Linked DNA regions of Arabidopsis thaliana. The protein of the gene in region 1 interacts with the protein of each later gene in a pairwise test. Each region holds a gene or a part of one and is shown in the gene's direction. Other genes may lie near its edges.

Evidence for each region.
Region 2: the proteins of ERF5 (region 1) and WRKY20 interact in a two-hybrid assay, tested with the Arabidopsis thaliana proteins (one large-scale study listed by BioGRID).
Region 3: the proteins of ERF5 (region 1) and NAC028 interact in a two-hybrid assay, tested with the Arabidopsis thaliana proteins (one large-scale study listed by BioGRID).

Annotation. Positions count from the first base shown.
Region 1 is NC_003076.8:19,175,751-19,185,271, forward strand, and holds ERF5 (ethylene responsive element binding factor 5), read left to right. Parts: upstream 1-4,130; 5' UTR 4,131-4,321; coding exon 4,322-5,224; 3' UTR 5,225-5,432; downstream 5,433-9,521. Other genes in the region: AT5G47229 (uncharacterized protein), read right to left, coding at 3,944-4,099; NUDT8 (nudix hydrolase homolog 8), read left to right, coding at 8,056-8,179, 8,279-8,556, 8,635-8,700, 8,792-8,932, 9,030-9,158, 9,259-9,521.
Region 2 is NC_003075.7:13,433,361-13,445,618, reverse strand, and holds WRKY20 (WRKY family transcription factor family protein), read left to right. Parts: upstream 1-4,622; 5' UTR 4,623-4,925; coding exon 4,926-5,153; exon of another isoform or gene 5,154-5,844; coding exon of another isoform or gene 5,845-5,856; exon of another isoform or gene 5,857-6,145; coding exon 6,146-6,301; exon of another isoform or gene 6,302-6,593; coding exon 6,594-7,098; intron 7,099-7,188; coding exon 7,189-7,345; intron 7,346-7,429; coding exon 7,430-7,585; intron 7,586-7,849; coding exon 7,850-8,321; 3' UTR 8,322-8,614; downstream 8,615-12,258. Other genes in the region: AT4G26650 (RNA-binding (RRM/RBD/RNP motifs) family protein), read right to left, coding at 56-67; AT4G26630 (DEK domain-containing chromatin associated protein), read left to right, coding at 10,742-11,776, 11,852-11,885. UniProt on the Arabidopsis thaliana protein: Transcription factor. Interacts specifically with the W box (5'-(T)TGAC[CT]-3'), a frequently occurring elicitor-responsive cis-acting element.
Region 3 is NC_003070.9:24,516,698-24,528,706, reverse strand, and holds NAC028 (NAC domain containing protein 28), read left to right. Parts: upstream 1-4,446; 5' UTR 4,447-4,598; coding exon 4,599-4,755; intron 4,756-5,666; coding exon 5,667-5,944; intron 5,945-6,021; coding exon 6,022-6,354; intron 6,355-6,464; coding exon 6,465-6,836; intron 6,837-6,934; coding exon 6,935-7,025; intron 7,026-7,109; coding exon 7,110-7,774; 3' UTR 7,775-8,039; downstream 8,040-12,009. Other genes in the region: AT1G65920 (Regulator of chromosome condensation (RCC1) family with FYVE zinc finger domain-containing protein), read left to right, coding at 63-152, 235-321, 406-600, 677-2,587, 2,673-2,819, 2,902-3,263, 3,353-3,440; AT1G65900 (plant/protein), read left to right, coding at 10,382-10,591, 10,684-10,786, 10,873-10,898, 11,038-11,250, 11,351-11,422, 11,510-11,602, 11,736-11,777, 11,869-11,973.

The DNA of each region.
Region 1 (9,521 bases):
AGAACTCGCGGATTCTATTTTTCCCATGTAAGTTCAACGGTTCTCGATTGGCTCTCTTTAAACGAGAGCGCTTATCCATAGAATAATATATAGAGTTTTAACCCGGAAAAAAAAAATACTCGCCTATAGTTTGCTTTAAAAAAAAGTTTCTTCCAACCAACAAAAGCACTCACCTAATCTTACAACTGTGATTTTTGACCAATGTTTTTGTTCATATCTCTTCAAAAAAAAATTTATACTATAATGAGCATTATAATATATTTTCTATCACATATTATTGTGCAGAAATTAAGTATCAAGTTAAAGGCAAGTTTTAGCAAAAACACGATTTACGGAATTAGCAACATTTACACGGACGATCGCATATTTCAGACAAGACAAATACAGAGGATAAAATATCATAAAAGGGAAAATGACGACACAAATTATGTAGGCAGTGATTGGTACACATTGTTAGTTTTTTTTAAAATATTACTATGTTTTTGCCAAAAAAAATTACGAATCAGAGCAATCATGCATAAAAATTAGAAGAATAGCGTAAATATTTTTCTCTTTTCTATTCACACCTTTACTCGCTTTTCTATTCATTTTCTTATTTTTCCTCTCAATTACTCCAAAAACATACCAATTAGAGTTTAGATTCATGATGTAATTGACGAAAAAAATCACCCATATGATTAGTTACACTATATCCGAACACTAATATTCATAAATTTAGTGTCTCGGATTTATGCATACAAACTTTTCATGGAAGATGCTTCTCATTTACAAGCTGATGATAAAATTGATCTTACATTTTTTAACAATGAAATGTCTTCTATTTTTTGTTATAGCCAAAATAACTCAGCTTTCAGTTATATATAATCTACAGTTTAGTGTATTTTGTTAACTTTAATCGATTCCTAATTCATTTTAATCAACACATCTATATGTAGGCAATTGGATGCAAAAGGTACACAAAACAATGCAAAAGGAAGGATCAAAGGAAAGATGTTATATGACACGTCAGCAGTATTCAAAAGTTTGAAGTTGAACAAATCTAGTCATGTTTGACTTTGACCACTGACTTTTCAAACCTATCTTTTATTAGTAGCAAACTCAGTTCCATACGTGCAAACAACCTCACACGTGCGTTCCCACCGCAATGTTTGAGGTTTTCTTCAACAGAAGACGATATTTCTTATTATTATAACGTTAGATTGAGAATTCAAAGATTCTCGACAAATGAATGGTAACTTTTTTCTATAAGAATCACAATAATTAGTTTTAGTTATACAATTTTATAATGTTGGAGTAATTGTCACATAGATGATTGGTTGGTGATAATAGTTGTTTATGTATGATTGATCAATTAAACTTATAATTTTCCATTGGAATAATATTTTCTTGACCTTTAAATTTGGAATGTAGATTTATATGGAAAAAGTAGATAATCATTTTTGTGACGCTAATTAAATATGTTGTCCCATAACGACAGAAAAAAAAAAATGAAACAAAAATAGAGACCAGATTGGTTCAAGAAAACGACACACAGTTTAGGATGCTAAAAAAGCTTTGTTAGTACCATATGATTGTTATATTGTTTATTGGTTCCTTAATAATGTATTTAGACGTCAAAAAATGTTTTTGTATTGATATGTGACCTCATAACTGGTTAGCTGCTTAGGGCCATTAGATTAGAGTTTTGATTGTTTCAAATGTCAAATCTTACAGTCCGTCAAATTTTATTTGATGTGAAGTAAGTGAGTTGATAAATGGGACTACTTTCTCCAGTTGGCTAGGGTCGACTGCTAATAACATTTCTCCAAGGAATTAATCTCAACGGGCTTGTTGCTCAGGCAACAATTTATAGGAATAGAGATTGAACGAAATAATTAACAGATTACACAACAATGTTTCCTCTACTTTAAGCAAGCAATCTTCAAGGCTATATTGATCGACTGATTCGAGACGCAATCGTCTTGTCAAGAAGAACCACAAAAACTATGATGATATGTAATGCAAACTTGACTCGTCTTTGAGTAACACTTCTTCATCTAGTCCAATCGTCGCAGGGTTTCTTTTAATTTATTTATTTATTATCTTCTCTTTTGGTAAGAAAGAGCTTCTTTAATTTGGTTAAACTTTTTTTTTTTGGTTAAGTACAAAACTTCTCATTCCTTAATAAAATTGATATCTATATTATAAAATATCAAATTTTGTAAAACAAAAATAATTAAGAGTAGTGTTTCACAACAACAACAAATTAAAAAGACTACTATATAAATTAAAAAGACTACTTGGCTTTCTAGAAATTATTAAATATAAATTTTTATATTAAATCTCTGATTTGCTATATCATTTATTAAAAGTGTGAACTTTATTTTGTTTCATTGTAACAAGTAACAACATGACTTTCTAGAATCTAGTGAGTGAGTCGTTGATTCATTCTACAAACCAGTTAATGCACCGCGTAAATTCTTTTCACGTGCATGGTGCAGTGCATGAAGATGGATCAAATTAAATACGAAACCAAACATAATTCAATAGTATATCATCTTTTAAAATTTGTATGATTAATAATCTCTGTCAATAAAAGGCCGCATGCATTGACTTGACTCTTTCAGTCTTGTCTTGCTTACTAATTAAACCCTCCATAATGCATCAACCTAATCATAACCGAAAATTTTCTGAGTTGTATTTGGTTAGACTTTAATGCTTTACTATCATTTTAGTTACGTTTGTGTTTACCTCGCAAAAAATCTTCTAGAAGGATAATATAATACTACAATACAATGTTGGCATTATCCATTACTGAGCGGTGTGAAATTGGTTTTGATTGTTTAACATATGAGTTAAAATTTGTTCGCAATATTGGCAAATTAGCATCGGATATGCTATTGTATAAGAAAACGCTTATTTTTGGAGTGCGCGTCTACCTGTAACTGTATAAACTACGTAACGAACCTTTGAACGCAGAGTGAATGTGAGTCTCTGTGACACGACTTAAAGCTTAATCAGAAGCAGATTATTGGACCTTATGGAGACTTTATCAAGATTAGCTAATGAAGGTTACTATATATGAAACTTTGAAGTAATTGTTTGCAGCCTTTTGGGATCAATAAACCATAAAAGCATTGGTTTTGTTTTCTCTATCTATATCCAATTCCGGAAAGTAGAAAACTGGATTAGTAAAAATCATATTCACACATTGCGAAGAAAAACTATGTGCGCGCGGATACGTTGGGAAAATCTGCGCATGGTTTAAAGTTTTGCTTTCAGTCAATTATAATTCGTTTTTTATACTCCCTCTGTTCCAAGATACTTGATATTTTGGGTTTTTGCACAAGAATTAAGAAAAGTAACTTTTATATTTTTAATTATTCTTTTAGTTAGTTTAATAATATTAATTTTACTTCTCTCATTTCATTATTGGTTACAAACAAAAATAATAATGATAGTTTTTCAAAACATCAATTTTGGTGGAACAAATAAAAAAACTCAAAATATCAAATAACTTGAAACAGAGGGAGTAGTTAATTAAAAAAAGATATTTCACACTTTGACTTGGCGAAGCCTCATAACAATGAAGTTATGTATGAACTATATATGAAGTTAGAAACAATGGAAAACAGCTTGTAAATATTCATTGTTGTATATATGTTTTTTTGGGTCAATTTGGTGCATGAACAAAAATAAAAACGTAGATGAAAACCGGATATTTTGGTGTTAACATTTGCATTTGAACTTCGTGAAAGACGGATAAAAGCTCATTTTTGTTCTTTATTATATGGCTGCTATTAGTACACAGAGTTGAACTTTAGAATACTAAAAATCTCGACATCTTTTATTTTATTTTTGTCAAGCATCGACATCTTTTCTGTTCAAGAAAACGACCGCAATAGTCGAATAATATAACTCTTGGACTAGTTAATATATATTTGCGATAGATTTTCGATCTCACTTATATCTTATAACCAAGAGACAAAAACAATATTGCAGTCAAGTACAAAACGAAAACAATCACAATGTCGACTATAGATGAGTCGGTCATTCGATCCAACGGCTCTGAGTCCACGAAACACGCAACCAAGTGGTGCTCTCTTTTACACCAAATCATATTATAAAAAACTTAAAAGAAAGAGAGGATGGTTCGTTGGCTCCTTCTTGTTCCTTAATTAATTCAAATTATATTCATCACCTCCATTGAATAAGTCCATTTCACGACAAAGTCACCAATGCTTCTTTTACATGTATATATACTTCTTTCCACTCCCTCTTCTCTACTCAAATCAAATCTTCTTCCTTCTCTGTTTTCTTAAGCTTTTTGAAAATTTTATCAATGGCGACTCCTAACGAAGTATCTGCACTTTGGTTCATCGAGAAACATCTACTCGACGAGGCTTCTCCTGTGGCTACAGATCCATGGATGAAGCACGAATCATCATCAGCAACAGAATCTAGCTCTGACTCTTCTTCTATCATCTTCGGATCATCGTCCTCTTCTTTCGCCCCAATTGATTTCTCTGAATCCGTATGCAAACCTGAAATCATCGATCTCGATACTCCCAGATCTATGGAATTTCTATCGATTCCATTTGAATTTGACTCAGAAGTTTCTGTTTCTGATTTCGATTTTAAACCTTCTAATCAAAATCAAAATCAGTTTGAACCGGAGCTTAAATCTCAAATTCGTAAACCGCCATTGAAGATTTCGCTTCCAGCTAAAACAGAGTGGATTCAATTCGCAGCTGAAAACACCAAACCGGAAGTTACTAAACCGGTTTCGGAAGAAGAGAAGAAGCATTACAGAGGAGTAAGACAAAGACCGTGGGGGAAATTCGCGGCGGAGATTCGTGACCCGAATAAACGCGGATCTCGCGTTTGGCTTGGGACGTTTGATACAGCGATTGAAGCGGCTAGAGCTTATGACGAAGCAGCGTTTAGACTACGAGGATCGAAAGCGATTTTGAATTTCCCTCTTGAAGTTGGGAAGTGGAAACCACGCGCCGATGAAGGTGAGAAGAAACGGAAGAGAGACGATGATGAGAAAGTGACTGTGGTTGAGAAAGTGTTGAAGACGGAACAGAGCGTTGACGTTAACGGTGGAGAGACGTTTCCGTTTGTAACGTCGAATTTAACGGAATTATGTGACTGGGATTTAACGGGGTTTCTTAACTTTCCGCTTCTGTCGCCGTTATCTCCTCATCCACCGTTTGGTTATTCCCAGTTGACCGTTGTTTGATTAGTTTTTTTTGAGTTTTTGAACGATGTGTATGCTGACGTGGACGTACACGTAGGTGCATGCGATGAAAAAAACATCTATTTGTTCATATTTTTGCGTTTTTCTATTTGTTCATTCTTTTTCACAATTCACAATACATTATTTCAGTTAATGATTACGGATAATTTAGCTTTACGTTAATTTATTATGAGTACTAGAAGAAATCGGAGTAATTCAACATATAGATTATACTAGTATAAATGTCAATTGCATTGACATTAATTGAGGAATTATAGTAGAACCTAGTATAAAAAGAATGATTCAAACATGAGATATTGACCGGCGTTATGTGAAGTTGTTCAGACAATAAATGCATAACCGTGATTCTGTCTGAACAAGTCGATTCTTAGGATAAAAAATGGATAAACTTAGTCAAAATATTTCCCACGTGGTTAGACTTTTGCTTAGTTACATGACGAATGTGAAAGCCATCCATGCATGTATCCAGAAGAATATATCTTGCACGGCGAATTCTCTACGTATTTTAGTATTTTAGATTTGACGACATCTAATTTTCTTTTGGTATTTCGGGTTTGACATCTAATCTGCTAAGAACCTTTTCTTATAATCGAAGAATTTTGTTGGGTCGTCTTGTAAGATATTATTTTCAGTACACACTATCTAATCATTCATCAAGGTCACTAATGGGCCTTGTGGTCTAAACTTTGAATATATACTTTCACCTATGAAATCCAGAAGTTCTGGCTGGGTAAGTTCTAAACCAACCTATCTTATACATCGAAACACAAAAGATAATTGGAACTACAAACAAACTTTACCCAAAAATTATTAGTTTGTTTTTATCTCCGTAGATGAAATTGGGTTTTCTAAATCGTTTTCGAAGATGAACGCTAATCAAACAAAAGTGGTATAACACAGTTTGTTACGAAATTTTGTTAGGAAAATAAATGAAGTATGTGTTTTGCGTCGACCTCAAAATAAAATACATATTAAATCTTGCATGCTAATATTATTGTATAGAATACCAATCAGGTAAGAATCGCTCGTCATCATACGACTATTCAATATCCAAACATATTTATTTGGAAAACCCGACCACGAATAATGGTTAGCTTTACATCATTATCCACACATACTCAAATGGTTAAATTTTCTAGAATTGTAATGGAAGACACAATGTTATCACGAATGAGGATCATCATGCACTTCAGGTTACCTAATTATCCTACGTGGACAATACCTAATCCTTCCATGATTTTCAATTATTGCAGATAATTTTTCTGAACGTCATCATTTCCCATAACGAATAATCATTTCCTCAATCAACGCAAACCTAACTATCTATGTCATTTACATGTTTATGTGGTAAAAATCTGCTTAGAATAAGTAAACCTTCACATATATATTGTAACAAAATAATTGAGGTTAATGTTATTCAATGCGAAAAAATGTAAACACTTGCTAATGAGTCGTAATAACCCTATATTATTTTTCCAAAACATGTTTCTATTGAAGTTACAAATTAAGTTTCCACTCTATTTGGATGGAGCGTACTAGTCGTAGACACGGAGAGCTTCCAAGTCCATCGGATCAACTTATCAAACTTATCGACCTTTTGGTCCACAACAAGATATCTTTTGTCCATCTTCATCATGGCTCTCGCAAGAGGATGGGTTACATATATGGTTTGCTTTATTGCTTAATAGGGATTAATTTCTCTAATACTTTTGATTAGCTTTTCGCAAACATTTTTCAGCATAAGGACGCATCTGACGTACAAATTAAAAATCCAAATGAACTAAAATACTTTTAAACAGAAAGGACAAGGAATCTAAGCCATCAAGGCCCATCTCCACGTAGCTCCAGCAACGACAAGATGCTTTATTATCCCATTCTCGTGGATACTTGTGTGAGATACACGCTTCAGATAAATCAACGGACGAAATTGTAAAAAGCGTGAGGAAGAGAGAGCCTCTTTCCAAAGGAGAGGGATTGGATCATTGAGATATATCCGTTTATCCATCCTTGAACTCCTGAAGATTCCTTCGCACAGACAACTCTCTCGAACATGTTAAAGATTCTCTGATACCTAACTATTGATTCCTTTTTCCCTGCATTTTTCGTTCACTATTTTTGCTTATAACTTTTTGTACTAAAATTAAAAATCATGCCACCATCCTGTATTTCATATCCAAAAGCTTTGGATTATTTTATAATATATCATTGGCTTGATGTGATTGATATTTACCAAAAATCTATTCTAGTTTCTTTTTGTAACACCAAATGTTATTTAAAATTTGTATTGGAAAAATGATTCATTTATATAAGTTATTATATCCCTCTTAAAAATTGTATAAAATCTCTAAGACATTATTAATTGTAAAAGATAGACACAACACGTAGCTATATGTCTATATCCAAAAATAAAACACGTAGCTATATGTAATATTATAAAAATGTACATATATTATTAGGGTTGTAATATTTGGTCGGTTGAAAATTGAAATCGCAGCTCAATTGGAAATTCACGTGTATTTTGTCTTTGATTGTAAGATATTAAAACTGTTCTTCGCTTTCCTTTTCTCATTTCTCACTTAACCACTCGATCCACTTTAAACCACACATTATAAGTGTGCCTCAAAAAAATCTAACATTACTCTCTCAACACATCTCTCTTTCTTCTCCATTTCCTTCTTCTCTTTCATTCTCTTATTTAAGATTTAAATCTGCTCAAATGCTTGTAAACAAATTTCAAGTTCTTTAAACGATTTCCTTTTCAAGAAAAATCCTTCTCCTTCTTCTTTTTACCACATAGATCTTCTTGATCTACAATGGATTCTGTTTCTCTTTCTGAGGTTACTGTCATTAAAGGAACAACACATTTGGGTTTTATGCACAGTTTCAGACAGCCATTTTGTGGTGTCAAAATATCTCCAAAGTTCTATTTATCCAAAGGTAAATAATAACACCTTAAAATCACTTCCTCTTCACAACAAGAATCTTCATTGTCTTTTTTAAAAATTGTTTTTTTTTTTTTGCATTTTGGACGAGAAGTTGATGGACCAAAGGCAATATCTTCGAGCAGCAACACAAAGAGTCAATTTGTTTATGGAGGAGGAAGCATAGCTGCAACTTCAGATTCAGGTTATAAGATGAATGGAGTAAACCTAAAAAGCAGAACATTGATGAGTTCTGCAGTTAAAGAAAGATCATTACTTGATGCTTATGATGATGAGTATGGTGGAGTAATAGTAGATCATGGAAAATTACCATCAAACCCTTATGCTTTCGCTTCTATGCTTCGAGCTTCTCTATCCGATTGGAGAAGAAAGGTAAAAACGATAAACCCTATAAAAGTCTTAAACCCTTTTGTTTTTGTACATATGTAAATTTGGGGGAAATTTTTGTAGGGAAAGAAAGGAGTTTGGTTAAAGTTACCTGTGGAACAATCAGAATTAGTCCCAATAGCTATAAAGGTAAGCAATAAGAAAATGGTTCTTGATCTTGTTTGATAAAGCAGAGATTTGTTTATGCAAGTTAATGATTTTTTGTGGATTGATTTTGCAGGAAGGTTTTGAGTATCATCATGCAGAGAAAGGATATGTAATGTTAACATATTGGATACCAGAGGAGGAACCTAGTATGCTTCCTGCAAATGCTTCACATCAAGTTGGTGTTGGAGGTTTTGTATTAAATCAACATAAAGAGGTATCAATATATGAATGATTATTCTCTCAAGTCTCAACACTTAAAGTAGAGTAGGTAAAAAGAAGAGTTACCTGAATTTTTTTTTAAATCTCATTAGGTGCTTGTGGTACAAGAAAAGTATTGTGCTCCTTCGATTACTGGTCTATGGAAGTTACCAACAGGGTTTATTAATGAATCTGAAGAGATTTTCTCTGGTGCTGTAAGAGAAGTCAAGGAAGAAACTGGGGTAATTAAATCCGAGAAGATTAGTATATAGTATAAATCTTGATTCTGTTTAAAAATTCGCAAGATCATAACCATGTATGGCATTGTGTTGTGTTATTCAGGTAGATACAGAGTTCTCAGAGGTTATAGCTTTCAGACATGCTCACAACGTTGCATTTGAGAAATCTGATCTGTTCTTCATCTGTATGTTGAGACCACTCTCTGATAAGATAATCATCGATGCTCTTGAGATCAAAGCCGCAAAGGTAAATGTAACAAGAGTCTTTATTAGAATGCTCCAGTTGTACATGCTACAAGACGGTCCTGATTACAATGATTGTTGTGTTTTTCAGTGGATGCCATTGGCTGAATTTGTGGAGCAACC
Region 2 (12,258 bases), on another chromosome or scaffold:
AGATTCAAAAAAGCTCAAAGTTCTGAGATTTATGAAGAATTGTTCAATGTTTTACCTCCGGATTCATCTTATTGAAAATCAAACGGGAAAGAGACAGGGAAATCTACTTTTGTCTGAAACAGAATCCAAATTCTAGTCCCCGATCAAATAGGAATTGAGTGTCTTCAAATCTGACAATGGATCATCAAAGCATCCAATCAAAACTATTGAAAAAAAAAAAACAGAAATGAAACAGAACAATCAATGGGAAGAGAAACGGAAAATGAGCAGAGACAATATATATTAGAAGAGAAAAAAAAACGCCAGATTTGATGAACAAAAACATCAAACTTGTAAAGATGGAGAATTCACCATTAAGGAGAGGACCCAGATGATAAAATGTGGAAAACCTTAAGATCTGGAAAAAGGGACAAGGACAAGAGAAACAGAGGATGTTTTGTTCATTCTATAAGACATCCATCCACTCTCTCTGTCTCTCTCTTTCTCTTTCTCTATAAGGGTTCTTCTTCTCTTATCAAAATATGGCCTCTCTCTCTTTTCTCTCTCTATATCTCTCTCTCAATGAAGCTTATTAAAAAACTTTCCTTTTTTATTTTGTGTAATGCTTTCTTAATTGATTTACCAAATCCATTAAGAAGGATTCCTTTTTTTTTTCTTCAGGCCAAAGATGGTAAAAGAGAGAAAAACAACAACAGTCACATATAATAATAGGGGAAGAATTTGAGATTTGCTTCTCTCTTTTGGTGTTAGAATCTTTTATTTTAGGGTTGTTAGACTTAGAGGGAGGCCCTAAAGACAGATGATGGAAGATGATAGCTCCTTTTTATTTTTAAATTTTATTTTTTCCCACAAATATATATATATTCATCTCAATAATTCACTTTCTAACCAATAATTTATTTGTGATAAAAACAATTGAAAAATAGATTTTACATTTCTTATGAGATTAAATTCAATTTATGGAGTCTCTAGAAAAAATGAGTAATTCAATTTATGAGTATCACAACTTTTCTAAAGGCTAATTAATATCATCAAAAGAAAATGTTCCATTTTATTTGAAGAAACACTAATTTCATTGTCTATTTTTGTTCTTCTACAACTTTTCAATTGTAGCTGAATTTATGATTGTATGAAGATTTTCTTCTAAAGTTTAATTTCCAAAGTTCTTATAATTTTAAAAAAACTCACAAGAATTTCCAAAGTTCTGAATCCCTGCACATTATTCCTTGCTTTGGAAACAAACTAAGTTTAAACTTTATGCATATATTTAATTTTATACTATTTACTTTAAAATTGGAAGATTTTTAGAACATACATTGTAGTTTAATGATTTATATAAATGTCATCAGCGTATAATAATATGAGTTTGTAAACCAGTAATGTGTTTGTAAAAACTATAGGTGAATGAATGAGTTAATTTCTAATTAGGTAAGGTATAATGTATTCAATCACTATCTACAAAAGTATTGAAATAATTTAAATATCTAAAAATTATCATATATTCATATCATCATAATCACTGGGACAAACATTAGAAAATAGTTACATAATGTTTGAGCTAAAATCGTCATCAAAGTTTCCGAAATTATTAGTGTCTCATATAATTTAAGTTAGGTGAATTACTTAGCGTTATGTTTTAGAATTTTTTTGGTCTTTTCAGACTATTTACAAAATGTTTGGACTTTACCTTACAAAATCACGAACAAGTGGACGGATACATAATAATTAATCAGTATGTTATTCGGTACACAAAACACCAGAAAATGAATGGTTAAGAGATAAAGTGAGTCAAGTGACAACGTTATATATTAATTGAGCGTTAGAGAGAAATTACATTAATATTCCAAGATTACTACATAGTACATTTTCTTGTTCGTAGGTGACTTGTCTTCTATCTAATATACGAACCCACGATACATATTATACACATTTATGTTATTAACGACTTTTTCATATTTTCTATTAACAAATTCACATTCTACTTATGATAAGACCTTTACATTTTTAATATTTTGATTTGTCTACGTTTTGTTTTTCACTTGTGATATGCCTACGTTGACATAATTTTAAAACTGGGTACTCGATGCTATCTTTTTATATCACAAAGATAGAATCATATGCCCTACATGAAAATATACAAAATAATATTTTTGCATCAAATTTAATCATTTTAATATTATGTTCCATTGACATTTTACCTTTACCTATAAGGGAAAATATTCTGTTGTGTGGTGTTTTTTTTATCCTCTCTTGCGTGGGCATATTTCTTATATATGACGCCTAAAACAATATAGTTTTTATCTATATACTATAGTTTTCTATAAAATTATGAGAAGGAGAAGATAGGATCTGTAGACAGCTGAGCTTCTCTTGTGTAGAGGAAAAAGTCTACCTCTAATGTTCTTTTTGGGCATAATGATGTTTATGAGTATCCAAGGGTTGCATTATATCCATTAATTAATTTGTAGACGGCCAATAATAGAATTCATATTTGGCATTCGATGACCTCATTGATCCCATAGTTGTTTACTTGTTCTAGTAAGAAGGTAATACTAGTTTGCGAAGAAAAAAAATGTAATATGAGTTTAAAATACTTTTTTTTTTTTTTTTTTTTTTTCCAAAACATCTTAGTTTATTTCAGAATACTTGTGTATAAGCAGTTAATCATATGCCGAATTCCTGACTAATTTCAAACATACAAAATTGGATTAAAAAATGTTTTTGAAATCTTCAACGTGATCAAATAGAAAATTGCAAATTGAAGAGAATTTCACTCCTAAAAATTAAAGGTCTCCTCCAGCACTTGAGTACAAGATCACCATTCTTCGAGGTATATGCCAATATATCGTGAACTTTAAATAATTCAAAATCTTAAGTACACCAAACTAAAATAGTGAAACCACCCCTTTTTCTTGGTCAAATGTTTGATCAAAATTATGATGATGGTGTGGTTATGTGAAGGGGACAACACCTTTTTGAACTTTGGAAATTTTCATGCAAACTTTTCCGTTTCTAGATTTTCTTAGAGTTTTTTAATTACCAAAAAAAAACAGTTATCGAGTTTTTCCTTATTTCTTCTGTTAATCTAGACATTAAATTTAATATGTAAAAATGACAAGACTATGTATATGATATGAGTGTTGCACCAAGAAAAAATTACTATCTAAAATCTTCACTAGTCACATATTTTTGAATAGTTATGATATATTTTCTGTTGCTTTATCATTTTACCGAGTTACCCACTTTCGAATTATCAGTTTTTATCAAAACATGGATTGATAATTATTTAAAATACAAGTAAAACAATTGTTGGTTTAGAAAAGAATTACATAGTTTTATTCTGAAACGGCATTGAACAGTATTGAGAGATATATACACATATTCTTCTTATCTTTTACACATTTTGGAAGTTTTACAACCAAAGAAACATGTTTTTTTTTTTTTTTGAAAAATTCTCTAACAAGATTTGAGGTGGACCAACTTGGATCCAGAATGTCACCACTCACCATTATATATCCTAACTGTTATCCACGCAAATAGAACACAACCGCTACCCCACAAGATAAACCAATAGCTTAAATTTTTAACAAAAAAAATTCGATTCAACTCCCACATAATTTGGTAGGTAATTTGACTCAAGGGCCTAGGCCCATTTAAACCAATGAAAGAAACTGAGAACGGCCCAAAGATATCTCACACATATCCTCTCTATATAATACATAATCATAGCATATCAATTTCATTATCACCGATCAAATTAGGGTTTCTCTTTCGATTACAGAGTTTCACTTGTTTGGAGCCAACAATCATACTCTGCAACCAAAATCCAAAACAAGAAAAAAATGGCCTGTCTCAACGATGATAAGAAGAAGAAGTTTCACCTAGTCCTTGACTTGGACCACACGCTTGTCCACTCGGTACTTGTTTCGGACCTTTCCGAAGAGCAGAAGTATCTAATCGAAGGAGCTGATTCAAGGTCAGATCTGTGGAGAATCAACAGAGATCCACTCCCAGCGAATATATGATAAAGCTACGACCTTTTCTTCATGAATTTCTATTAGAAGCCAACAAGCGTTTCATCATGCACGTATACACAATGGGTGATTCTAGTTACGCTCAGACCGTGTTGAAGTGGATTGATCCGGAAAAAAATATACTTTGGAGATCGAGTCCTAGCCAGAGAACAAAGTCCTTATGAGAAGACACTCGATCTTCTTGCTGTTGATGAGCGTAGAGTGGTAATTGTCGATGATGCGATTGATATTTGGCCTCATCACAATAGAAACTTGTTACAAATCAGCAAATACATTTATTTCAGCGTCGGTATTGAACTATTGATAAACATCGCAGAAGATAAGATAGACGAGAGTCGAAGCAACGGATCATTGGCGCACAAAAGATTCAAAAAGGTAAGTTTTAAAAGACCTGAGACTGTTGATACCTGATCCTTAATTATCATCAACAATACTGCTTCTGACTGTGTCAATCTACCAATGCTACAACACTCTTACTTTGAGATTTAGGATGTTTCTGGTTCCAACAACTCTTTAAACAAGCAATTTTGATTACACTAACTTTTTTATCTTTTACATTTTGACAAATGTACATGAGAAAAAAAAAGAGGATTGTTTACATCTTCTAATTGTTTTTGTCAACTTTAACGTTTGTTGTTGTTGCTTTAGAAATTGATAAAGCTAAATAAAGGAGAAAAAGAAGAAGAAGAAAATAAATTATTAAAAAAATGAAAAGGAAAAACAAAGAATTAAGAGAGGTGTGAAGTCAATATCGTTCTTTCATCTTTCACTACAATCTTCACTAACGCAGAGACCAAAATCTCTCTCATTTCGCCATAGCTGAGAGCTTCTTCTACTTTCCCTTAGCTTCTTTTTTCCTTCATTTTTGTTCTACCCTTGCGAATCTCTGAAATGAACCCTCAAGCTAATGACCGGAAGGAGTTTCAGGGAGATTGTTCGGCGACGGGAGATCTCACGGCAAAGCACGATTCAGCTGGAGGAAACGGAGGTGGAGGTGCTAGGTATAAGCTGATGTCACCGGCCAAGCTTCCGATCTCGAGGTCGACTGATATCACGATTCCTCCTGGGTTGAGTCCGACTTCGTTTTTGGAATCTCCTGTTTTCATCTCCAACATCAAGGTTTAAGCAGCTACTTTACTATCTCTTTCTTCTTCTTCTTCTTCGATTTTGGTAAATGCAATCACAGTTTCACCTCATTTTTGTTGTCGATTTGAGAAATTAGGTTTTCTGATTTCATATTTTTAAGACCTAAAGGATTTTTCATGAAATTGGATTGTGCCATTTTGAAACTGAGTTTGGAATTGGAATTGATTCATAACATTGACATTTTGTCCCACTTGTTCGGTTTCTCGTTGCTTCAATTTCGATTTGGATCACTGTTCATGTTAGTGGGGAATTTCTGGTAATTTGGTGGAGATGCTCTCTGCTTGCTCACTAGGAAAAACATTGGACTTGGGTTTCCATTTTTGTTTCTTAGTCCATTACAAGTGATTAAAAAACTATGATTTGTTTGCTTACGTTAGGGACTTTGGCCAAGATTCTGATTCTTTGTGCTACTATACTCTGCATTGGTTTGCATTTGTGTCCGTTCAGATTGTTCTTTCGAATAAACCTTTTTTTTTTATCATGTTCTATTGGTGCTGGATACTTTATTTATATCCTCTTGCTCTTTGTCGTTTCTTCTTCATACTGTCTAGTGTCTATCTTCCATGTGTTTGGTGCTTCTCTTTTCTTTTTCCATTCTTTGTACATTTAGGTTTCGGTTAGCTGCGTCTGTGTGGGGATTCCTTTTACTTATATGAGCTATTGAATGATTCTGTTGGTGAGAAAATGTACTTTACTCGCATGTTCACCATTTAGATCTATAGAGTATTCGTTTTGTTCAATTAAGTTATGAATAATAGGTTATATGCTATGTGCTCAATTTTATTTTGCATCTCTTAGTTATATCTTCTTATCCCTTGATTGAACAAGATATTGTTTTTGTTTTTAGAAGACTGTTTTTTTTAAAACATCATGTTTATTGATAGATCAGGTTCATGTTTTACAAAATCTGATATGTATTGTTTTATTCATGCCATTAATAATATGCCACTTTCTTTAACTTTCAGCCAGAACCTTCCCCTACTACTGGTTCTTTGTTCAAGCCTCGACCAGTGCACATTTCTGCTAGCTCAAGTTCTTATACAGGCAGGGGGTTCCATCAGAACACCTTTACTGAGCAGAAGTCCAGTGAATTTGAGTTCAGACCTCCTGCATCAAATATGGTATTGTCCAAAACAATGCTGTTTGTTATGCTTTGCATGTAATGTACTGTTCAGATAGTCGACGACATATGAACCCCGAACAGTGGCTGACCTAATTTTTCTGCACGAAGTCTATTTATTCAGCGCTTGGATTGCTTGTAAATCTCAAAATCTTTCGCCTTTGCATACATATAATACCATGCCAGCCTTAAATTGTTTCATAAGGAGCCTTGTATCCAAAAGCTCACAGTTTATAAGTTACTTGTATATTGTTGGGGGATGACTTTGTCTAAACATCTTTATTGATTTCAAGGTATATGCAGAGCTTGGCAAGATTAGAAGTGAGCCACCAGTACATTTTCAAGGCCAGGGCCATGGATCCTCACACTCACCTTCTTCGATCAGTGATGCTGCAGGTTCCTCAAGTGAGCTAAGCCGGCCAACTCCTCCTTGTCAGATGACACCAACGAGCTCAGATATTCCGGCTGGATCTGATCAAGAGGAATCAATCCAGACTTCCCAAAATGACTCCAGAGGAAGCACTCCATCCATCTTGGCTGATGATGGTTATAACTGGAGAAAATATGGTCAAAAGCATGTCAAAGGGAGTGAATTTCCCCGGAGCTATTATAAATGTACACATCCTAATTGTGAAGTGAAAAAGTTATTTGAAAGATCTCATGATGGGCAGATCACCGATATTATATACAAGGGTACACATGACCATCCTAAACCTCAACCTGGTCGCCGAAACTCTGGTGGTATGGCTGCACAAGAAGAAAGGCTAGACAAGTATCCTTCTTCAACTGGCCGAGATGGTAATCATAACTAAAACTTGAGACAAATATGCACTTACTCCCTTGGCAATATCTATAACTTTTTCCTTCTACTCTTATGTCTGCATACAGAGAAGGGATCTGGCGTCTACAACTTGTCTAACCCCAATGAACAAACTGGTAACCCTGAAGTACCTCCTATCTCAGCATCTGACGATGGTGGAGAAGCGGCAGCGTCAAATAGGAATAAAGATGAGCCGGACGATGATGATCCATTCTCAAAACGGAGGTATTAGAGTTTAACAAAGGATTCAGGTGCTTGATTTGAATCTGTGATTTGACATGATTAAAACTTTATTTTAACTTTATGTAGGAGGATGGAGGGTGCGATGGAAATAACTCCACTAGTGAAACCCATCCGGGAGCCTCGGGTTGTTGTTCAAACTCTGAGTGAGGTTGACATTCTGGATGATGGTTATAGATGGCGCAAATATGGGCAGAAAGTCGTAAGGGGGAACCCAAATCCCAGGTTTGTACAGCATTAAAGCTTTTAACACCCCAAAAAATTCCTTGCTTTTTTCTCGAATGAACATACATAAACATAACTTGCGAGTTCAAAATGGTAGCTAGAACAGTTTAGTCCTTGTCTTCAGGACCTAGTTATTTGACATGTGCATAAAGTGTTGCTTCTTTTAGGAATTTGGTTTGGAATATGGAAGATAGTGATCTTAACAGACTCAACATGTGCGCAATGGAGATATTATGTTTCATGATGTTCCTCGGCCTTTTGTAGGAGCTACTACAAATGCACAGCTCATGGATGCCCAGTGAGAAAACACGTGGAGAGAGCATCACATGATCCAAAAGCTGTAATAACAACATACGAAGGCAAACACGATCATGATGTTCCCACTTCAAAGTCTAGCAGCAATCACGAAATCCAGCCTCGGTTCAGACCAGATGAAACAGACACCATCAGCCTCAATCTTGGTGTTGGAATCTCATCTGATGGACCTAACCACGCTTCCAACGAACATCAGCACCAGAATCAACAACTTGTCAACCAAACTCACCCAAATGGAGTCAATTTCAGGTTTGTTCATGCTAGTCCCATGTCATCCTACTATGCTAGCTTAAATAGCGGTATGAATCAGTACGGCCAGAGAGAAACAAAGAACGAGACTCAAAATGGTGACATCTCGTCCTTGAACAATTCATCTTACCCATATCCGCCCAACATGGGGAGAGTACAATCGGGTCCGTAAAACAAAAAGTAAGCAACATTATGTACGGGATCTTCTTAGGTTAGGAATGGGACGAGGCCTTGTTCTATATAATTCCTATTTCTTCACAGAGAGCTGATCTTGATTCAAACTATCTCCACCATATATATTTGTTTGTGTCACCTGTATTGAGTTCCAAAAATGTTATGTAAAAATACACAACAAGATGTTAATGCTTTTATTTAAACAAGAAACAGCAATATTACTACAAACTATTTCTTCTTCACCGTAATTAGATATGCTCCATGAAAGAAACACCACGACGGTACTTAAGCTACGTGGTCCTTAAGCAGACAATTACAACTGTTGCCCGTTTTTCAATAATAGTTTCTCAACTTTTAGTTCTAGACTTCTAGATTTGTCAAAAACTCATAATAATGAGATATAAATACTTCGACTAGGTGATTTACCATGGGACAATATTAAACTTTGTTCAATTATTTGGAAGGTTATACTATACAGTCTCTATACAAAATTAAGAGATTTGTGCAAGAAGTAGATTGGCAATTAAAACAGTAACCTTATTCTCTCTTACATGTATCTAGATTATTTGGTGGAAGTTACAATCTCTAATTTCATATTTAGAACTTTTTTTTTTCCGAAGCATTTACTGTTGTTAAAGACAAACATATTAGATTCTTTTAGATCATAGTACCCGTTAAGCAAATAAAAATTTTGTCGCTATCAAACTAATGACATTATAAGTCATTTATAATCATCGTCGTCAAAATAGTCTTGTTTTTTTCACCGGACCAGTGAATCATTTTCATCTTTTGCGGAAAGGTAAAAATCGGATTATCATGTTAATTTTTTTGCAAAAATTGACAACGCTATTTATGGTAGCGGATCGAATCCATCATAAAAAATATTTAAATATAAAATAACAAAATTTGTTAAAGTCACTTATACAATTCTATTCAATTAGATCATTTTACCTAATATAGCGTTGTTTAAATCAATTATAATTGAACATTCAACGAATTCGTTAAATTTCTTTAAAAAGAAGTACATTTTAAGAAAGAGTTTGTTTTAATCATTTGTTCAATCACATAAACTTAGCTTCCTTATCATAAAGAAGTAAAACAATTTCATTAATATTAAACCGATATAGCAATTATTACGTATCAATTTTATTTTTATCTGTTATATAGTAATTTTATAGATAATTTATTTACAAAACTATCATATCATTGAAAAATTACCAAATTAAATTTGTAGTTAAAAAAATATATTTTTCTATAGGTCACAAACATTGAATATGTTAACTTTTTTTGTCCAAAAACCTAATATAAAATCCTTGAAATATAAAGTCTAGGCTCGGTACCTGGTTCGGAACCGGACGTTAGGGTAGTTTATAGCGTCATCGATCCACGAGATGCATCAAACATAAAATCTGAACCGTTGATGAACTCTATTACAGCAATGAAATCGGACGGTAATGATTCATCCTAAGCCTGACGTGGCATTAAATTGTATTTAAAATCTGGCTTTGCGTCCGAATCCTTGAATTTCTCTCTCCTAAAAAACGCTATCAAAAAGAAAAACAAAAGCTATTTGTTCTGTTTTGTAAGAAAAAAAGTAGTTAGAGGAGAAAAAAAACTCAGTGCCGAGTCTTGTGATACTCTGAGGTGAGATTCCGAAGTCTTCTGCTTTAGAACCCTGTGGATACTCTGCTTAAATCTTTGTGAGCTTTTATGTTTTGAGCTTTGTTTGAATTCGCATGTTCTTTTGGTTCTTCTTTGTGTTTGTTTAAAGTTGCGATGAGAAGTTAGGGTTTCTCATGCGCTTCTTTTATTTGTGAATTTCGATGTTTTGATTATTTATTGTCTTTTTGATATCTGATGCTATTAAGTTGTTGACAAAATGCATGAATTTGACGTTGATTGACTTGATTTCGAGAGATTCAAGATGGGTTTGTGTTTTGTCTGAATCTGTGTGGTGTAAGCTCTGGAGATTTGTCTGAATGAAAGGGTGTTTTTTGGTTTCATTTGTCCATCTGGATCTTTGTTCTACTGAATGTATAAGAAGCGAGGATAAATGATGAACCTTCGAGATTTTGGTTTCTTAGTGACTTACGCGAAATTTCCATTTAGTTCTTCTTCTGCAGATCTAAAGTGGGATTAAGTGATAATTATGGATCAATAATGAGATCTAAATTAGATTTGTCTTATTGTTGACTAGCCAAGTTTTAGATGTTGTTTTCCTGGAATTAGTTTTTTTTCGCATATATGCTAAGTGTGAATTCAATGCGTTTTACATGTTCTTTATGTCAAGTTGTTCAATTTCTTTATAGAGAGCATTAATTTCTGCTATCGTAGCAATATTAATCCTCTGAACTGATTTCTCATTCACAGCCACAAGAAGTGTTTTTGGTGGAAGGATCTACTGAACTGGTTTGTAATATGGGGGAAGATACAAAGGCAACCATTGAGCCAACCGCAAACAAGACTACTTCTCTTGAAAAGCCATCAGAGGCTATGGCTGGAAAGGAGAATGCTGGGGGTAAGGAAACACAAGAACTGGCGAAAGATGAGGATATGGCTGAGCCAGACAATATGGAGATAGATGCTCAGATTAAGAAAGATGATGAAAAAGCTGAGACGGAAGATAAAGAGTCAGAGGTTAAGAAAAATGAAGACAATGCTGAGACTCAAAAAATGGAAGAGAAGGTTGAGGTCACCAAAGATGAGGGACAAGCAGAGGCTACCAACATGGATGAAGATGCCGATGGAAAGAAAGAGCAAACTGATGATGGTGTTTCAGTGGAAGATACTGTAATGAAGGAAAACGTGGAATCTAAAGACAATAACTATGCCAAAGATGATGAAAAAGAGACCAAAGAGACAGATATTACTGAGGCAGACCACAAAAAAGCTGGGAAGGAGGACATACAACATGAAGCTGACAAAGCAAATGGAACAAAAGATGGCAATACAGGAGACATCAAAGAGGAAGGGACACTGGTAGATGAAGACAAAGGGACAGATATGGATGAAAAAGTGGAGAATGGGGATGAAAATAAACAAGTGGAGAATGTTGAAGGAAAAGAAAAGGAAGATAAGGAAGAAAATAAAACAAAGGAAGTTGAGGCGGCAAAGGCTGAGGTGGATGAGTCAAAGGTAGAAGATGAAAAAGAAGGGAGTGAGGATGAGAACGACAATGAAAAAGTGGAGAGCAAAGATGCAAAGGAAGATGAGAAAGAGGAGACAAATGATGATAAAGAAGATGAAAAAGAAGAGAGCAAGGGTTCTAAAAAGCGTGGGAAAGGGACGAGTTCTGGAGGAAAGGTTCGCGAGAAGAATAAAACCGAGGAAGTAAAAAAGGATGCAGAGCCTAGGACTCCTTTCTCTGATCGCCCTGTGCGTGAGCGGAAATCTGTTGAGAGGCTTGTTGCATTGATTGATAAAGACTCCTCGAAAGAATTCCGTGTTGAAAAGGTTTGCCAAAACTTTCCTGAGCTGAGTAGAACTTTATTGCTAGATATGTTTATAATAATCCTTTGGATATTACAGGGGCGAGGTGCATATCTCAAAGATATTCCCAATGGTATGTTCATATTCTATCTATCTGTCCTTCAAGCATCTATCTCGAATTATCCTTGTGCTGAAAAGTCTTTTGTGTTAGCTTTCCAAGTTTACAGTTTGAGCCCCTTATTATCTTCAAGTGTGCGTAGCCTAAACGTTCTTTTGTTACGAGAATTCTATGTGCTGGATACTACTAGTTGTTAAATTGCATGTATACTATGGGTGGATTCTTTGATCTATACACTTTTCGGTTCTGGTTATGTGAATCTTCATTTGAATTTTTTTTCTTGGCATTGATCAATTCCAGCCGGCTCAGAAGCAAGATTTCTTGTAAACCAAAATCTAATAATCGCGACCTACCTAAAAAATACCTTTATTGTTCCATTTTTTCATCT
Region 3 (12,009 bases), on another chromosome or scaffold:
ATCTTTCAATCATTTATCTTTCAAGGGTTTTAGTAAAGTTGTGTTCTTTTGGTCTTATGAAGGATGAGAAGTACTTGATTTGGTACTCAGGAGAAGAGGAGAGACAATTGAGATTGAGTTCTGTTATAACGATTGTTCGCGGACAAATCACAGTATGTATATATTCCTTTTGGCTCACTAAATAGTCTCTAGTTGAAGACGTTGATGATGAAAAGTGTTTCATTTTGTTCTTAGCCAAACTTTCAGAAACAAGCACAATCTGATCGAAAGGAACAGTCTTTTTCACTCATTTATGCAAATGGAGAACACACTCTTGATCTCGTAAGCTTTAGTTATAATGTTTGAACAAATAGTTTTCAAGATTAGGAGATTTGATAAATGGTGAATATATTGTTGGTGATGTAGATATGTAAGGATAAAGCACAAGCAGACTCATGGTTTAAAGGTCTTAGAGCTGTGATAACAAAGCATCATAACATTAGAAACTCTGTGAATCATCGGAGTAGTAGGGGAGCTCAAAGTTGCATCAATAGTCCTGCGGGTTTTATGCGAAGGAAACAGAATCTTGGACTTCTTGAAGAGACTCCTGACGTCACTCAGGTAACTAAAAGACACTTTCTTTAACCATTTATATATTGTTTTCGATTTCTTGATGTATCTTGTTATGTTCTTGAAGATACGTAGCTTATGTGGAAGTCCATCGACGTTACTTGAAGAGCGGTGTTTGTCGAACGGGTTGTCATGTTCTTCAGATAGTTTTGCTGAATCTGATGCCTTGGGTCCAGTTTCTTCTTACTATGAAACAGATTATGATTTCAGGAACTCGGATTGTGATCGTAGTACAGGTTCAGAACTTTGCAGGTTTTCATCACAAAGATTTGCTGCTTCTCCTCCTCTTTCTATCATAACACAGCCGGTTACAAGATCCAATGTCCTTAAGGACATTATGATATGGGGAGCTATAACGGGTCTTATCGATGGATCGAAGAATCAGAACGATGCGTTGTCTCCTAAGCTTTTGGAATCTGCTACGATGTTTGATGTACAGAGTATATCTCTAGGTGCAAAACATGCTGCGTTGGTTACAAGACAAGGTGAAGTGTTTTGTTGGGGGAATGGAAATAGTGGGAAGCTTGGACTTAAAGTTAACATCGATATCGACCATCCGAAACGCGTTGAGTCTCTTGAGGATGTTGCAGTTCGATCAGTGGCTTGTAGTGATCATCAAACGTGTGCTGTTACGGAATCTGGTGAGCTGTATTTATGGGGAATTGATGGTGGAACCATTGAACAGTCAGGAAGCCAGTTCTTGACTCGGAAGATATCCGATGTTCTTGGCGGATCTTTGACTGTTTTAAGTGTTGCTTGTGGCGCGTGGCACACGGCAATTGTGACTAGTTCTGGTCAGCTTTTCACTTATGGTAGTGGAACTTTTGGAGTTCTTGGACATGGGAGTCTTGAGAGTGTTACAAAGCCGAAAGAAGTTGAGTCTTTGAGACGCATGAAGGTCATATCTGTCTCTTGTGGACCGTGGCACACGGCTGCTATAGTGGAAACCGCGAACGACCGGAAATTCTACAACGCCAAGAGTTGTGGAAAGCTGTTTACTTGGGGAGATGGCGATAAAGGACGGTTAGGACATGCTGATAGCAAGAGAAAGCTTGTGCCAACTTGTGTTACTGAACTCATTGATCATGATTTCATAAAAGTCTCTTGTGGATGGACTTTAACTGTTGCTTTAAGCATTTCAGGAACGGTTTATACAATGGGAAGCTCGATCCACGGACAGTTAGGATGTCCGCGGGCAAAGGATAAGTCGGTAAATGTTGTTTTAGGCAATCTAACACGACAATTTGTCAAGGATATTGCTTCAGGTTCACATCATGTAGCTGTTCTAACTTCATTTGGAAATGTTTATACTTGGGGAAAAGGCATGAATGGACAACTTGGTTTAGGTGACGTTAGAGATAGAAACTCTCCTGTTCTTGTTGAGCCTTTAGGTGATAGGTTGGTAGAAAGTATAGCTTGCGGGTTGAATTTGACGGCTGCGATCTGTTTACACAAAGAGATCTCTTTGAATGATCAAACCGCTTGTAGTTCTTGCAAATCAGCTTTTGGATTCACAAGGAGAAAGCATAACTGTTACAACTGTGGTCTATTGTTTTGCAATGCATGTAGTAGCAAGAAAGCGGTAAATGCTTCGTTAGCACCGAATAAAAGCAAGCTTTCTCGGGTTTGCGATTCTTGCTTTGATCATCTATGGAGTATAACAGAGTTTTCAAGAAATGTTAAGATGGATAATCACACTCCGAGGATGCAGATGGTTACACGAAGAGTATCTGAGGATTTGACAGAAAAACAATCAGAGAATGAGATGCAGAATCTTCCACAAGCTAATCGATCTTCGGATGGACAGCCTCGATGGGGACAAGTCTCTGGTCCTTCTCTGTTTCGTTTCGATAAGATTTCGACAAGTTCTTCTTTGAATCTTTCAGTCTCAGCAAGGCGAACATCTTCAACGAAGATTTCAACCTCGTCTGAGTCGAATAAGATCTTAACCGAAGAAATCGAAAGGCTAAAAGCCGTGGTAATTAAACTACTTCTTTTTGTTTTCTTACCTGTAACAATAGTAACACATTAGACACTAAAGATACATTTTTATGAACATGTAGATAAAAAATCTCCAGAGGCAGTGTGAACTTGGCAATGAGAAGATGGAAGAATGTCAACAAGAGCTCGACAAGACATGGGAAGTTGCTAAAGAAGAAGCAGAGAAATCGAAAGCTGCTAAAGAGATAATAAAAGCCTTGGCATCGAAGGTAAAAGATACATAGTTTTTTTTAATCTTTCTGTTTTTGGTTTGTTATGTGACCGACATTTTCACGGTATCTTTGCTTGCAGCTCCAAGCGAATAAAGAGAAACCGAGTAATCCTCTGAAGACCGGCATTGCATGCAATCCTTCTCAAGTCTCACCAATCTTTGATGACTCAATGTCCATTCCATACCTCACACCAATCACCACAGCTCGTTCACAACACGAAACCAAACAACATGTAGAGAAATGTGTCACGAAATCCTCGAACCGTGACAGCAACATTAAGCTATTAGTAGATGCATCGCCAGCCATCACAAGAACAGGGTATCTCCAAAACGAAACACAAGACTCGTCAGCAGAACAAGTTGAGCAATACGAGCCCGGTGTATATATAACTTTCACGGCCTTGCCTTGCGGTCAGAAGACGCTTAAACGCGTACGGTTTAGGTAAAAAAATGTTAATGTGCTTTTAAGTGTTTATATAGTTTGAAGTACGCTTAAGTATTTATATGATTGGTTTCTAACTTTGGTTGCAGTCGGAAGAGGTTTTCAGAGAAGGAAGCACAAAGATGGTGGGAAGAGAAGCAGGTTTTGGTCTATAACAAGTATGATGCTGAAATATGAAACTAACTTTTGAGTTTACTTCTTCGAATGTATTTTAATTCATTTTGATGTTTGTTAGTGAATATATGTAATGCAGAAAAATTTCTTTATTTAAGAAAAAATGAAAAAAAAATACTGGGAAAAAAATTCCAATATATGATTAATAAAAATATTTTAATGATCATCTAGGAAATATATATGCGAGTTAAGAAAAATGTTTGTGATTTTGAGCAATGAAGAAGACTTGCATAGTATGTAAATGTAAGTAGAAATATATCTAACATGCTATCTTCAAAATGCGATTGGTTCAATATTACCATTGAGGCATTGACCACGAGATAGAAAATAAAATGATGTATATCAAATATAAAACTTTCATTCTATATTATAGAAAACGTAATAATTGACTATGAAATGTGGCTTAAAATGTGTGAAAACAGTGAGAAAGCATCTCAAAAATTAACAACGTAAAAAATAGTTTACTTATTATGTTTTCTTAAAACCTTACATTAAGTTCTAGTTGTTGAAAATTCCTTATAAATATGTCAAATATGTCACGTCCTTACGTTGGTCGATGCCAAAAAATATGACGAGCAAAAGTTATTAACTAGTATAGGTTTATACATATATATCCGTTTTTACAAGCAAAAATAGTTATCAAATTGTCTTTAATTGGTTACTTTTAATATTTTCACTAGGAGCAAAACTGATAAATGAAATTGACAAATATCTAGTCTATATGCATAAACACGTTACGCATGGATGAACAAAAATAAACATGTTTAGATGAATTATAATGAACGTGAGTTTTCCAACATTGAACATGATACCGAAAAAGCTTATTAAGAACGTTACTGAGAATCAAATTTACACGGAAATATATAAACACATTAAAGTAAAAAGAAAAGTTAAAGTGGAAAATATGTTGTGGGGTTTGCAATTGGCAACCGACCCTAAATGCTTTTTCCAGCTTCTTTTACATAATTTTAATCTCTTTTTGTCTTTCTTACAATTTCATCACTGATCGATCGAATTCAAACCCTTATGTTACGCTTCTTTCTTATATAACTGTCTCTTCATATTCTCACTCCTTCTCCTCCCTCTTCTCCTTTTTCTCTCTTAAGTTCTATAAATGTTCATATTTGTTTCTAGCTAAGAAGTTTGTATAAGGCAGTGGACATGGCTCCTGTTTCAATGCCTCCAGGTTTCCGGTTTCATCCAACAGACGAAGAGCTTGTCATATACTACCTCAAGCGAAAGATTAATGGTCGGACTATTGAGTTAGAGATAATACCCGAGATTGATCTTTACAAATGCGAACCTTGGGATTTACCTGGTATATTTCTCTCTTTGCTTCTTTTTTTTCTTTTTCATAAGATGCAAATCTATCATTTTTTTTGGTCATCCGCAAGTATTTACCATGGACGAAGGTATAAATTTATGATTCTGCATCGTTAGTACATCAACATGTTGTGTCTCATGTTAAAGAAATTTTAAATGAGACCATACCATAGCAACCGAAGGAGAAGACTCTATCTGGTTCTTTTCTAATATGTCATAATCATTTGATTGATATGCTTAGTGTAAGATCATTTTTTTTTGGAATTTAGTAAGAATAACGAAAAATAGATTCATTTTTCTGAAAACTACATAATGTGAAACTAATGTTTGAAAGGGTAACCCTTGAGAGAAGAGACACTTGACGTCCTTTCTTTTTCGAAGATAGATGTTCTTTCCCTCTTTTTCCTTAACATAATATAATTCCCATTTTATTTTCACATTTTTACGTACCAAGTTATGTATCTCTAGTCACGCATCGAACTTGGAATCGAACGTGAATGCTTTATCAACTAAATAATCTTTAATAATTATGATCCCAACTTTATGTTAGAATAAAATTTAAATGGACCCACCCTTATCTTTAGTCTTTAAAAGGATTGTAATAAAACCGAGAGATGCGGTGGTGACTAGTGTGAGACAAATTCGGAAGACCGAGTCAAAAAAGGTAAGAAGATTGAAAAAAAAAGATAATAAGTAACTCACAATAATTTCACATGTGCTTTAGGGTTTTGGAAGCTTCTCATTCACCTTCAACTTTTTGTTTTAAATATAAAACAATCTAATGTTCTCTTTATTTGTCTTTTCTTTTTTAATCTTTTGGATTCTCATGACATGTTATGGAATCTTTAAGTAGTGTGTACAAATTAAGATTGGATATAATTTATCTTAATTGTATGATCCTTGCAGGGAAGTCCTTGCTGCCAAGTAAAGACCTAGAATGGTTCTTTTTCAGTCCTCGAGACCGGAAATATCCAAACGGATCAAGAACAAACCGGGCGACCAAAGCAGGTTACTGGAAAGCCACCGGGAAAGATCGTAAAGTGACTTCACATTCACGGATGGTTGGAACAAAGAAAACATTAGTTTATTACCGAGGAAGAGCGCCTCATGGCTCTCGTACCGATTGGGTCATGCACGAGTACCGTCTTGAAGAACAAGAATGTGACTCTAAATCCGGTATACAGGTAAGCTAACTTTTAAAAAGGTTATCAAAAGATTAAGATTCTTAACTTGAATATAAACCAATGTATAAACATTTCAGGATGCCTATGCACTTTGTCGAGTATTTAAGAAGAGTGCTTTAGCCAACAAAATTGAAGAACAACACCATGGTACGAAGAAGAACAAAGGAACGACTAATAGTGAACAATCTACTTCTAGTACTTGTTTGTATTCTGATGGAATGTATGAAAACCTCGAAAACTCGGGGTATCCAGTCTCACCTGAGACAGGAGGCTTAACTCAACTCGGTAATAATTCGTCGTCGGATATGGAAACGATAGAGAATAAATGGAGTCAGTTTATGTCGCATGACACGTCCTTCAACTTCCCACCTCAGTCTCAATATGGAACAATCTCATATCCTCCCTCGAAGGTAAAATTTAAACTATATATCTCAAAGAAATACAAAATTAAAATTGGTGAATATGTAACCTTTTGTTTTCAAACTAATCTCTTATCCATTGAATTCTCCTCATATAATAGGTTGATATAGCGTTAGAGTGTGCAAGACTACAAAATCGTATGTTGCCACCAGTACCACCACTTTACGTAGAAGGTCTCACACACAATGAATATTTTGGAAACAATGTAGCTAACGATACAGATGAAATGTTGAGCAAGATTATAGCATTGGCTCAAGCCTCACATGAGCCACGAAACAGTCTAGACTCATGGGACGGTGGTTCTGCTTCCGGGAACTTCCATGGAGACTTTAACTATTCCGGAGAAAAAGTCTCATGCCTAGAGGCGAACGTGGAGGCTGTAGATATGCAAGAACACCATGTGAATTTTAAGGAAGAAAGACTTGTTGAAAACTTGAGATGGGTAGGAGTATCAAGCAAGGAACTTGAAAAGGTAGTGATATTTTACAATGTTAAGTGCAAAATATTTTATGTGTTAATATATATGTTATCAAATATAAGTATATGTTTGATTTATTCTACAAATTTCAGAGCTTCGTTGAAGAACACTCAACGGTAATTCCTATAGAAGATATTTGGAGATATCATAATGATAATCAAGAACAAGAACATCATGATCAAGGTAGCTTTCACTTCGCGATTTCTACATTTGGTTGTCTTTCTTGACATCTCTGGATTTGATTTTTTTGTTTTGTTGTTGTTGAAGATGGTATGGACGTTAACAACAACAATGGAGATGTGGATGATGCTTTCACACTCGAGTTTTCGGAAAACGAACATAACGAGAATCTTTTGGACAAGAACGATCATGAGACAACGAGTTCCTCATGTTTTGAGGTGGTAAAAAAAGTTGAGGTTAGCCATGGATTGTTTGTCACAACTCGTCAGGTAACCAACACATTCTTCCAACAGATAGTACCATCGCAAACCGTTATAGTTTATATAAATCCGACGGATGGCAATGAGTGTTGTCATAGTATGACATCAAAAGAGGAGGTTCATGTCCGTAAAAAGATAAATCCGCGAATCAACGGAGTAAGCTCAACAGTTCTTGGACAATGGAGAAAATTCGCGCATGTTATTGGCTTCATTCCTATGCTTCTATTGATGCGTTGTGTTCATCGAGGTAACTCTAACAAAAACAGAGGCAGTGAAGGTTACTCGAGGCAGCCTACGAGAGGAGATTGTAACAATCGGGGAACAATACTCATGATGGAAAATGCTGTCGTGAGAAGAAAAATTTGGAAGAAGAAGAAAGAGAAAAATATGGTTGACGAACAAGGTTTTCGGTTTCAAGATAGTTTCGTATTGAAGAAGTTGGGGCTTTCTCTTGCTATCATCTTAGCTGTTTCTACCATAAGTCTTATTTGAATACTGAGGTTCAATATATCATATATGGCTTTTCACTTTTCTATTGTACTCCCATTTGCCTAGGTCGTATTTACTCTCATTTGCTTTTTCCATTTCTCTAAAGTCGTCTAAACAAAACTAGATTTGGTTATTTTCTGTTTATGTATTAAGTGATATGATCTCTCCGCGGGTTGAACGATCAGTCTTCTGTCTGGTTTTTATTATTATTATTATGTTTGCATGCACGTAAGACGGTAAGAGCAGATTATACGAACATTAACAATTTAGCCATCTTGTATTTCAGTATTTTAGTCACTATAGATATGTGAGTAAGTTTATAGTCATTTTCATAATAACTTGTTTATTATAACGATTGCTGTTCCATGTTTTGCAATGTATAGATCATCAAAAATTACTATCGAGCTATTTTGTTCTTGAATCTTGACAGATAATATTTAAGAATAACCTATACGGTTCAAACTGTCGGTTTCAATATTAAAACAAATGTGAATGGAAGATAGAGAGAGGAAAAAAACCTCTCTTACAAAAGAATCTAGGTGCGTCAGAGAAGCTCGCCAATCTCATGGAGCCAAGATTTGCTTTCCTGGCTCTTAATAGTTTGTATGGATCGGCGATTGAAACTTCATTATTCTCTCCCAAACAAAACATAGAATAAACGAATGTGTCTAACGCTGAGTGAAGAGGACTAGACGGACTTGCCCCGTCATAATATGCATATTACGATACGTTGCAACATTAACAATGTCGTGAGTATGCATATCTCATAACATACCAAATATCGATACGTTTCAACATTGAATTTTTAATATCTTAGTCATTAGCAATTAATAATTAAATCTTCTTTTATATGAACAAATTTATGATTTACAAAAAAAATAGATGTTATGTTTCCATGGATCATGTTTTCAAGCTTGACCGAAAACAAGCTGCTAAAAAGTGTCATAAAAGTTTGGTACTAGTACAACTAGGATTTTGTAACTCTAGCACAAGAACCAGTTCAAAAGATGATTATGCATACTGGATTTTTATAGATATTGTTGATTCTTGCATGGCAATCAAAGAGTTTGGCAGCTAGGTATACCTTTAGGGGTGATGTCGACACCTCTCATCTAGCCTTACTTGCTGAAGTATAACTACAATTGAATCTCACTCCCCCTACCAGAAACTGTTTCCTTCCTCATCTTCATTAGGATCAGATCGGATCACAACAACAAACTTCGTCGAACTCAACCACGATGGACAGTGGTGGCTGAGGTTCGTTGCCTGTTTTAGGGTTGAAGATTGAGATGCGTTAAGTGACTTGTGAGACTTTAAGTAACACACAACGACATAATTTAGGGTACTTGGGCCTTAATGGGCTGGATTGGAGTGTTACAATATACAAAGTTCATCGGAAGTTTAGGTTTATTTTAAAAGATGTTCAATGTGGATCCTAATTTCATGCGTTTTAAAATACTTTAAACATAAATCCCAACCAAAAACAAAAAACTCCCAATATCCTTTGAAATTTACAAAGTTCTTTGAAAGTTTAGGTTATTTAAAACATTGTTCCGTTGAAATATGGATCCATTAATTTTCATGCGTCTTGGTAAGATGTATCATATTATGGATATGGCTTTGAGCCTTTGACTTTATTCCTACTTTAAAGTTACAACTTAAATCCCATTTAACCAAAAAAAAAGAAAACAAGAACTCCCATATCCTTTGAAATTCAAGAAAAATTAATGATACAGTTGGTATATATCATTAACAATAATTACAACACCCTAAAATGATTATAATTTGCGTTATCTTTTACGATCTCAAATCTTGGAGTCGAGATTGTGGTAATGGGGATTGGGATGCACGTGGTGATACGTAATGGGTGTAGACAGAAAATCACAAGAAAGCGAAAGTGGTAACTATTGAAACACAAAGTGACAAATCAAATAATAGTCGCGTGCTTTCTTCACGGGTCACCTCCTCTATTGTTCTCACAATCAATCAAAACCTCACTTTCCAAATATTTTTTATATTTTTCTAATTTTTTTTTTGGTTGTGGTAAGAAATTATTTCATTGTGTTATAAACAGCATTGAGATCGATTTTTAAATTTCTTAAACGGAATTAACCAGAAATTTATACATTTATTTGTTTTTCACATGCTTTTGCAACCTTGACACAAGTTTCAATCTGTTTGAACTTCCATCTATAGGAATTGGAGAGACATAGGGATAATGAATCAATTGTCCGTATAAACACTATACTAAAATGAATACAAAAGGGTATTCACATGTATGAAGAATGTGAAATAGTGGTTGCATATACATTTACACTTGAGTGAGGATGTCCAGTGAGGCAAATATTCCATCTGAATTCCACAATTATTCTTAAATCAAACTAAAAACAAAAAGTACATTCCAACAGAATTCTAGCATATAGAAAAAGTTTATTTATTTTTGCCAACAACAATAATAAAATATTTCTCCCTATCACTCTCCACTCTATCTCTCTCCCTCTATGGAAAACCCACAGATATTTGTCTTGTGAATTCAAGAAGAGCCAATCTAAATTCAAAAAGGGTTAATTGTGATTTTGTCTTCTTTCTTCATCACCATTAACAGTGATAATGTCTCCATTGCCTTATAGTTCTTGGCCTCTGATACTATTGTTAGTATTGTGGTGCATGGTAGCTAGATTATCAAACGGAGCTTCCAACAATGTAAAGGTTGGAATCATTTCAAAGGTGGAAGATGCTACGAATTTCCATATCTATTATGGACAGACCTTTAAAGTCATCAAAAACGCCATTGATGGCAAGAGCTATCTCCTTATTCAGGTTCTTGCTCTTTTCTCATTAACTTATCTTTCATCTTTTTGTTTCCAAATGTATGGTATGGTTCGTGTCTGATAATTGAGGATAATATGTAGAACACTTCTAGAATGGCGGTTCGGACAAAGTATTGTACTTCCAGGATAAAGTCTTATGTGATTCCACTTCTAAATTACTCATTAGACACTCAATCTTCTCAAGGTATGTTCTGTTTTTTTCTCCCCTGTTTCATTCCTCTGTTTAACAAAATTCTGTTGTTTTAGATCTCTATGTTTTCTCTTATGCAGGAAGTGTTCCGGTTTCTTTCTTTGAGGTAAACACTCCTTTCTAGTATCTCAATACATAAGCTCTAGACTTTTATTGGCACTAGCCAAAAAATTCTATAGAAGACTAGGATCACACTTTAAAATGTACCAAAAAAAAAAAATGGATTTAGTTTTGATTATATGCAGTTACTTGGATTACTCGGAAGCTTGAAGGGAATAACATCGGATGAGGTAGTTTCACCGTGTCTTCTGAAACTGTGTGAGGCAGGGGAAGTAGTTAAGCTTGACAAAGGTGAACAACTATCTCAATTCGCGGCGCATTTCATCAGCGATACTGATCAACCTCAGACTTGCAATTTTGCAAACTTTTTTCCACTTAGTGAAGGAACACCTCTTCAGGTGCCAATTATTATCTTTGCATAGTTCTAAACCTAACCAAAATTGATAACCATTACACATTTTGATATGAGGTTGTGCTGGTTTTGTAATCTTGAATAAGCGAGCGGAGTGGATCAAATTCCTTGGAGCGTTTACAAATCTTGAAACTAAAGCCAATCAAGTCTATGACTCGGTTAGTGACTATTTGTGATTCTCTTAGCAAAATCTGCCTACATGGTCTATTCTTGCTGTTTATAAAGTATGTTATGGAAACTTTAAGGTTAAAGCAAGCTATACTTGCTTGTCTCAAATGGCTGCCAACAAGACAAAATCCTTCAAGCCGATTGTAGCCTGGATGGGATATGATCAAAATGTAAGAAAACTTTCTTCTTCTTCTTTTTTGTCAAGGGTTGTCTCTAGCTATTTTAACTGTTTTGTTTCTTAAAATACGAAGATAAATGTCTGTTTATGGTTTCAAACTCATAACGCATAATTGTTTTTTCAAGGGAGGCATGTGGAGTTTTACTAAGGAATCACACAAGCTAAAGGTACGCATTTCAATATTTGACACTTTCAATTATTCCCTTAAATGCTTGGGAAAAGCTTTGGAACTGAACATGACAAACCCATACACAACAGTTTGTAGAAGATGCTGGTGGTGAAAATATCGACAAGTCTATTAACAAGGTCTCTTACAATGTCTCTGATCCTGATGATTTGGAAGCACTCCATGCCATTTTATGTGTAAGCTGGTCATACTTGTTTTGCTTTCATCTTTTT